Schizosaccharomyces pombe: one gene and its partner. The protein of the gene in region 1 interacts with the protein of each later gene in a pairwise test. Each region holds a gene or a part of one and is shown on either strand. Other genes may lie near its edges.

Evidence for each region. Proteins that work in one complex are often made in the same cells at the same time.
Region 2: the proteins of tfs1 (region 1) and SPOM_SPCC576.02 interact in a two-hybrid assay, tested with the Schizosaccharomyces pombe proteins (2 studies listed by BioGRID, with this or other methods).

The regions. Positions count from the first base shown.
Region 1 is NC_003424.3:2,114,413-2,117,995, reverse strand, and holds tfs1 (general transcription elongation factor TFIIS), read left to right. Parts: upstream 1-1,539; 5' UTR 1,540-1,614; coding exon 1,615-1,683; intron 1,684-1,740; coding exon 1,741-1,803; intron 1,804-1,978; coding exon 1,979-2,658; intron 2,659-2,721; coding exon 2,722-2,746; intron 2,747-2,795; coding exon 2,796-2,840; 3' UTR 2,841-3,083; downstream 3,084-3,583. Other genes in the region: ATP-dependent 3'-5'-directionality DNA helicase fml2, read right to left, coding at 1-1,127; protein dsc3, read right to left, coding at 3,233-3,583. UniProt on the Schizosaccharomyces pombe protein: Necessary for efficient RNA polymerase II transcription elongation past template-encoded arresting sites.
Region 2 is NC_003421.2:2,079,684-2,084,578, forward strand, and holds SPOM_SPCC576.02 (hydantoin racemase family protein), read left to right. Parts: upstream 1-2,023; 5' UTR 2,024-2,186; intron 2,187-2,228; 5' UTR 2,229-2,963; coding exon 2,964-3,674; 3' UTR 3,675-4,344; downstream 4,345-4,895. Other genes in the region: alpha-ketoglutarate-dependent xanthine dioxygenase Xan1, read right to left, coding at 1-979; SPOM_SPCC576.19C (uncharacterized protein), read right to left, coding at 1,564-1,923.

The sequences.
Region 1 (3,583 bases):
TTTGATTTTTCTTTAGATTGTACATTTTTTGAACTAAAGGAATACTTTCGTAAAGAAACGAAAAGCGTATAAGCTTTTATATTAAGGCATTCACAATTGATAGGTATAAGTTTTTTTTGACGGAGAAAATTAAAATATGGCCGGTATAGGTTAGCAAAGTCCGATTTTAAAATATTCATTTCAGAGGAGATCGTGACCTTAATCAACTGAATCTTTTTATGAAAAACATATGAGCGAATATCTATACTTTCTTCGTTGCGAACAATGAGTTTGGAGATATGGAGGCAATCTACTACCTTTTGAACAGAGGCGGTAGAAGATCCTGGAGTTGCGGTTAAACCAAGGACTCGAAAATGACTATTAGATCTAAGCACTGCCCTCATAACCTGAGCATACGAATGGTTGCCAGTAGCTCTATGAGCTTCATCAAATATCAGGCAAATAATACTTTTGGCATCCAGTAAATGTTCCTTTAAATCATTCTGGAGTGTTTGTGGAGTCATGAAAAATACTCGTTTCGTATTGTATTCGAAAAGTCGACGATCCGGTGATACTTCACCGTTCAATTCAGCGGTAGCACCTGGTGACATTCCCGCTACATTGGAACAAGCAACTCTTTGTTGCAACAGTAATGGTTTTGTGGGGGCAAGAAATATTATTTTGCTTTCAGGAAACCAACGAAAATAGTTTAACATGACCACTGCCGCAATAAATGTCTTTCCCAACCCAGTAGGTAGAGCCAGTAATAAATTGTGGAATAATGCTTGCTCACAAAATTCCTTTTGATAATTTCTATACTGCTGAGTCTGTGGAAAAATCCAGTTTTGCATTGCATCAATATTTTTTGGAATGTCAATATTGTTTTCTAACTCAGTTATAACTTGAGGTTGAGAAGAAGGAACCCTACAGCCTCGCAAGTCTAGTTGAAACGTAGTATTTTCAACGTCTTGATTATGTTTTATACATTTCAAATTTGGTTGCCTTAAAGCAGGATTAGAATTCAACAAAGATCCTTCAACATTACAAAGCACTGAGGTAGGAACATTTCCTCGTTCTCCGTTCACCTCGATACTTGGCAGGTCTACTTCAGAGTCGGAATAGTCACTTGAGTCTCTCAGTACAATCATGAAACTAAATTTATGAAAACGAACGAACACATAGACCAAAGTAAGTTTCAAAAATAAACTGAATATCAAACTTTTAAATTCTTGAACATCAAGTTTCTTCAATTTGATCAAACAACATTATAATCTTTGCTTTTCATAAACAAAGCTGATAAAACAATTAACAATTGAGTAAGATCAAGTCAGCGGAGGAGCATGAAAATTTAACGTTGTAAAATAAACACGAGTACTAATGCGATAAACAGAAAACAGTTTGCAAACTTGAAAAAAAAACTGTCAAACTCAAGAATTCAACTAACAAAATCACGTTACGGGGTGTTGATATTCACATCAGCAACTATGGTGGTGAAGAAAAATCACAACGGTATTAGTAGACATGTGAGATGTAAAGCGCGTTATCCAAAATAAATCCTCTACCACCATAAGATTATTAATTTTGCAATCTGCTAACCAACAGCAGTGTTTACAGTATTCGAACTTAATTTGAATCATGGACTCTGCTGATATCCGATCTGCGAAAGCAGCTTTGGAAAAAGCTATTCAGGGAAAGAATATAGAGGTTTGTAATTTGTGCTATTGGGACTTACAGATGGTTTTGAAGCTAATATCAAGCTAGACTATAATTAACATTATGACACGTTTAAAAAATGAAGTAGTTGCTACCGAAGAATTACTTAAGGTAGGTTTATTACATGCAATATGGTAGTATTCTCGCACGGATTGTTGACAATATATTACATGAATTTTGCAAATTTCACTTAATAGAAATAACATCTTTCTTAAAATACGAATTCCACAAGAGTACCAACATTTGATGGAGAATCGGTATTCAAAATACTAACCAATGATGCTAGGAAACCCGGCTGGGATTAGTCGTTGGCAAGCTCAGATCTCATCCCAATGAGAAAGTTGGTGAGCAAGCTCGGGAAATTGTAAAAAAATGGAAAGCCGATGTTAGTAAAGGTCGTCCATTGAAAACCACAACTACAACTTCCTCCACGCCTTCTAAACATGCGGATGTAGGTTCTCAAGCTCAAAAACAAGTTCAAAAACAAAGCAGCAGTGGTCAGCGTACTTTTAAATCTGATAATGTGAACGTCAATGTGACTGATGACAAGATTCGCAACAACTGTATTGGATTAATGTACAATGCATTAGTCATAGATTCGGATGAATCTTCTTCATTAATAATAGCCAAAGCCAAAGAAATTGATGCGCAAGTACTTGCTAGAGCAGCAGGTAAAACTGGTTCTGAATATCGAAACAGAATGCGGTCCTTGTATATGAATCTTAAAGATAAAAATAACCCGAAACTTAGAGCATCAGTATTACGAAATGAAATTACTCCGCAAAGACTCAGTACCATGACTTCTGCCGAATTGGCTTCAGAAGACCGTCGCAAGGAAGATGCCAAGCTAGAACAAGAAAATTTATTCCATGCGCAAGGTGCTAAACCCCAAAAAGCTGTTACAGACCTTTTTACTTGTGGGAAGTGTAAGCAAAAAAAAGTTTCTTATTACCAAATGCAAACAAGGTATGTTATTTGTCATGATTTTAGTACTTTTTATCGCGTAAAATTTATTAACAATCCGTATAGATCTGCTGATGAGCCTATGACAACGGTAAGCATTAGTCTATTTGGGTAGAATATTTGGACTAATTTTTTTTTAGTTTTGTGAATGTACTGTTTGCGGAAATCGCTGGAAATTTTCTTAAATCTTGGGTCAGCCCATTTAGATACCGGTTGTAAAATAATCCTTCATATTTCTTCTTCTTTTTATTGTTTTAGAAGCACTCTCCTCTATTGTGTGTGTTTTTTTTTGTTTTAGGATCTGATTGGTATCTTTCATTCTAGCGATGAATATATGCATATTTTACTTTTGCACACTCAATACGACACTTTTACAGTTATCCTACTTTACACTTCTTAATAAATCCAAATGGTGTTTTAAACGTACATTTAATAAGTTAACGCTTGATCAAAGCGAATAGATCATAAAATTCGACATTATTAATCCTCAATTAAACTGTAGTCATAATTAACAAGTGCAACGAAAAGTGGAACGATTAATTGTATTGGACAAAAATTTTAACAAAAATGAACGGGTTTACCATCGATACGAGTGTAATAAGCCGTATGCAAAATTGCAAATAATTCCGACAAGAATGGATAATTGCATTCTCAGAGAGAACATTGTCCTTTCCCAAAGAAAATAACAAGCAATAGCTCCTCCAAAAAAGCCTATTAATACTCCAGCCAACAAGGTTTCATATGACATGTCAAGTTCGTCGGCAGAAGAGTTTTGTCCTCCATTGTCAATCCAATCGTCTTCTGCCTCTCTGATAGCGTCTTCCGTGAGTGAATCCAAATTAGTTCCTCGTAAGCGATGAAATTGGCTACGCAAATTATTGACCTCGGTTTCTGTAAAACCAGCTTCACGTAAACGATCAAAACCACG
Region 2 (4,895 bases), on another chromosome or scaffold:
CGTTGTCGATTAGGATTTTCTCAGCACAGCATCCGTGAGTCTGCAAGGCAAGCTTTCCGGTTACAGGATTTTTCCAAAGAAGAGGGAATGTTTTAACCCTGCTCTCCTCCCAAGGAGGTAATTCAGACTTGTCAAGCTCAAGTCCCTCAGAATACATACCCAAACCATTGGGAAGGGCTCTAGCTTTATTGATTGTAACGTAGGCATGAGGGAAATATTGAACGCGAGTACGAGCAGCCACCTTCTTTTCCTCGTCAGTGAGCAATTCGTACATGCGATAGCCTGAGGCGAAAGCTGTCGAACCTAATGGAACAGGCATCTCATGGCCAGACTTATCATCATATCGAAGAGTTTGGGTGCCTTGTGGAGCATTAACGGCGAGAAGGGTAGTGACTACAGGAGGGTTATAGTCATAAAGGGCAGCATCGATATGCCAACGATAAAAACGGGTGACTTGTTTTTCTTTTTCTTCCTCCTCAGAAATGGGATCACGATGGAAAGTTCGATGATGAGGATGTTTAAGTCGGACCTCTTCAAGACCGTAATGATCCTTCACAACACCATGACCAATGAGTTGTACTTGAGGAACACCGGGAAGGGTGTGCAAATCGGGATGTAAGATGCTGTTGTTTTGCTGATTTGTACGATTGCCGTGACCATAGGTAGAAGACTCGGGATCAAAGCGATGGGTGATAGCGTACTGAGTCTCTGGGGGTAAATTGTGTTGATTGGGGAAACAAACCACTTGATGTTCGAAAAGAGCCTTACGGATATCTTCGAATTGTTCATCCGAGAGGTTATTCAAGTCAACATTTTCGATCAAAGCACCAAATCCAACATCAGTATTGTGTTCCGGCAATGGAACAGGGGAAACACGAAGACCTTGAGAAGTGGTATAAGCAGTAAATGGTGGCTCGGTAGCACCAGTCAAAGTGGTGGTAGGAGGTTCCACAACCGTAGTAGTAGCAGTGGCAGACATGATTGAACGAAGAATTTAAAGAAAAGTTGGTAAGAAACAAGATGGGTTCTCTTACGAAACGAGTAATAAAGGAGGATTGAAAAAAAAATATGAGAAAAAAGGTATTCTTGATAACCTTAAAAACGTTTAAACTAGTAGAGTTCAACTTTGGACAAGTAGAGGAGCAAAAGTCGAAAATTCACAACAATCGTTTCGTTTATTGATAACAATGGCGTAGAGTGGTTTTCGAATGTTTGTTTCTTTTCGAAAATCTATAACAATGGATTATAGCAACACACGATGGGTATTGGCTGTTCAAAACGAAATTAAACTAAGATTTGAAAGGAAATTTACACAAGTCAATAATGCACAATGCTATCGGAGCAAGTAAACAAGCTGGGACAGCGAGAAAAGTTACGAATATTTAGTTGTTTTTACGGAGAGTAGCAGTAATTGAAGACTTTACGTAGATGTTGTATCACCCAGGTATTATTATGAACTTCAATTCAAATCAATTGTAGCAGAAGCACAAGACGAACAATGGTCAGTGTGATTCTCTTCAGTGAGTTTTTCTTTTGATTTGATGAGACAACATGGTATTCACATCAACCTTTTATACCATGGAACCTCCAATCCTCATTACTCCTGGGCCATGTAATTTTGCTCATTATCACTTCTACCGCATACCTCTCTATCAACATAGATAAGATTGCTGAAATTACATTGAGTAGGAAATGTACGCTAAGTGAGTTTGCCGATGCTCTAAATTCGAGTGAGCGGCATGGCAAAAACAAGCATTTGCCAACCTTCGGTATATCGGACTGAGCACCACTGAGTAAGACTGAGCTGCTACGAAACGGAGAATACATGTTGTTAAACAATTCTAATGAAATGTAAAGAAACCATCGATTTGGCGTCTGCACATCAAGTCTTGTTTGGTAAAGGTCATTGGAAGAAGTAGGCATCGATAGGGGGAATACCCAAGTCGCACCCGTCCGTCTAGGTGATGACTTAAATTGAGGTTTGAGGGGAATTCATTAAGACAATCGGCGGAAATTTCTTGACCAGAAGACTAAGCACCGATGTTCTGGAGTGCGATTTTTAGTGGGACAGGGTGCGAGTTGGAACGGGCTTCGGACTCGAGTTTGCAAGTGTAGAACGAGTGGGAAAGAATCGGTAAAAGAGTAAAGTGGGAGATAGTGCATATAGAAGATTTAACGTTTTGCAGGTAAATGAGAATATTTCAATTACATAATCCTAACAGCGCTAGTAGTAAGTCTGGTGGTTAGTGGTGCTTGTGCTTTGCTTGACCAACATTCCAAAGGCAGCTCAAGTATAGCATAGCAATCCAACATTGTCCTACAAACTTTTCAATCACCTATACTATCAGTACCATCGTTGCTGCTACTCACTGACGCTGTTTACTAGTCATCAGTCTCATCTCCTCTTCGGGTCCGACTGTGTTCATTATCAGAGTGCACATTGAACAACTTGGAAACGGAGTTTCCAAGTTTACTCAAACAACCCCTTACACTTGATTTGCGTCTTATCAATTCTGTAGACAATTTCAATTGCAGTCTACAGCAGCTTGAAACAGCATTTTTAGTCATCAACCTTGAAATAGATTGTCTAGTCGAGTCTAGTCTACTAAGAGTAAATAAGCAAAAACCAAACAAACGATCAAATCTATTTTAGTCATTACTTGTTAAAAATATTTTTCGTTTTTCAAGCCATTTTGTTGGAAACTCGATTTTCTACACTTTATAATAAATTGTGACACTGGTTTTTCAATTTTAGTTTTTGACAAACAGTTTAGAAAAAAGGTTTATTTTCCAATAAACTGTATTATTTTTTGTGTCTCTGTAAATTCAGCTTCAACATTCTCTTTTACTTTTTTTTTTTCTACTATTTCCCCTTTGCTTGCTCTTTTTCTTACTATTTTCTCTTCGCTTTCTCTTCTCTACCTTCTTTCTCTTCGTCTCTTACCTTTCTATTTTCTCTCATCATGCCTACCATTCTCGTCATCAATCCAAACTCTTCCACCTTCATCACAACATCCATGGAAGAAAAACTCGTTCCCCTAGTGCCTTCAGATGTAAAGTTGCGCTTTCTAACTTGTCCTCAACCCGGTGCTGCTGTCATCGACTCCATCACAGAGGCAACCTTGACAGCTGCTCTAGTCTTCCAAGCCCTAACTCCTAGTGTCTTGGATGGTGTCGATGCTATAGCTGTTGCCTGTTATTCCCCCACTCCTCTAGTCGACATGATTCGTGAGTCATTTGCTTTACCCTGCATGGGCATTGTGCAAGCGTCTGTCCTCAGTGCCTTATCGGTTGGTCAGCGCATCGGCATCCTTACAAGTACATATCGTTCCGAATGTTTGCTTTACGAATTACTCGATTCTTTTGGTGTTTCGCGCACTCGAGTGGCCGCCATTGCTTCTACAGGTCGCACAGTTTTGCAACTTTCGCAAATGCCTTCACAAGAGCGTGAAACCCTTCTTGTCCAAAAGGCCCAAGAACTGGCAAACACAAAGGGTGCAGATGTCATTTGTTTAGGTGGTGCTGCTTTAGCAGCTATTCGTGATCAGATTCAGGTTGCCGTAGGTCCCAATATTCCCATCATTGATGGTGTACATGCGGCTGTTGAGTTACTTGCTGGCCTAGCTCGTCAAAATCTTCATACATCAAAGTTTGGCATCTATACGTATCCATAAAGAGATGTCCATATGTTTTTAGATCTAGCAAACCAGTTTGATGCTGCTATATCACATACACACACATAATAATGTGTACGACAAAGGTTGATATTCCTGGATACGTATACATTTTCTCTTGATTTATATCAATAATTACATACCTATCTATAACGTGATAATTACAACCATTACCTCTTGATACATTCTTTTCTGTCATTGTTTACAAAGCGTATTGACACATTGGTTTCATAAGAATAACTTTTCACTGTATGCCCAGTGTGTTGGATACAAGCAGATTTACAAACATCCTTTTAAAAAATCATTTTGGGAAGCAGTCAATCTCGTTTATACTGTTGTATTTCTTTACATTCGCCTTTTTCCAGTCTTCTTCAGTTTAGAAACATTGGAAGGCTGTGAATGAGCTATATGGTACGAGGCAAAGTAAAATATTATTTTACTAATAATAAAAAATAAAATGCGACTACAATTAAAATTTCTATTTTATGTATCTCTATCCATTTATATTGACTTGAATGAACTGAAAACCTATTCTTCTTTATATCTCGAAAATTCTCGTTATGTCAGCAATACTACACTACGCTATGCTACACTACGTTGCGTATCACTATATGTCATATGTTGGAATACTAGCTAAGATCCGTTTATTGATAATCACGGGTAACTATCCTTCTATATACATAGATACCCGTTGATACAAGTATTTAGAAATATTATAAATAGCGTTACAACTGAACCTCGTTCCTCAGTTCAGTTATGAGCTATATTAGTGATAGGTAACATTATAACCCAGTTAATACAATACCTATACTCAGTTGCTACTTATACAACCTGTGTATTGTAATATAATAGACCACAAGGAAAACTCACCGCAGTTCTACGTATCCTTAAATCAGATACCAAACTGCGTAGCTTACATGTTATCGCAACGAGCGTAACTCGTTTAACTCCCTTTGGGCCTGATAAGGAAGATGCGGGTGAAGGGAGTGAAATCCACGGACTAACCTTCTTTTAACCACCGAAGTCTACCCCAGATAATCTGAGGTAGCAAGTCACTTGGTATGTCAGTGCGTGTCGGTGCGTTACAAAACGATAGACGCAAAGCAAAACAATGAGAGGATTTAATTTTTTTAGGTTCCATTTTCTTGGTATAAACTAAAACATAGGTTGCCTTTTTCTTTTGTTTTGAATTGTCGTCATGTTGTCAAAAGGCATAATAAT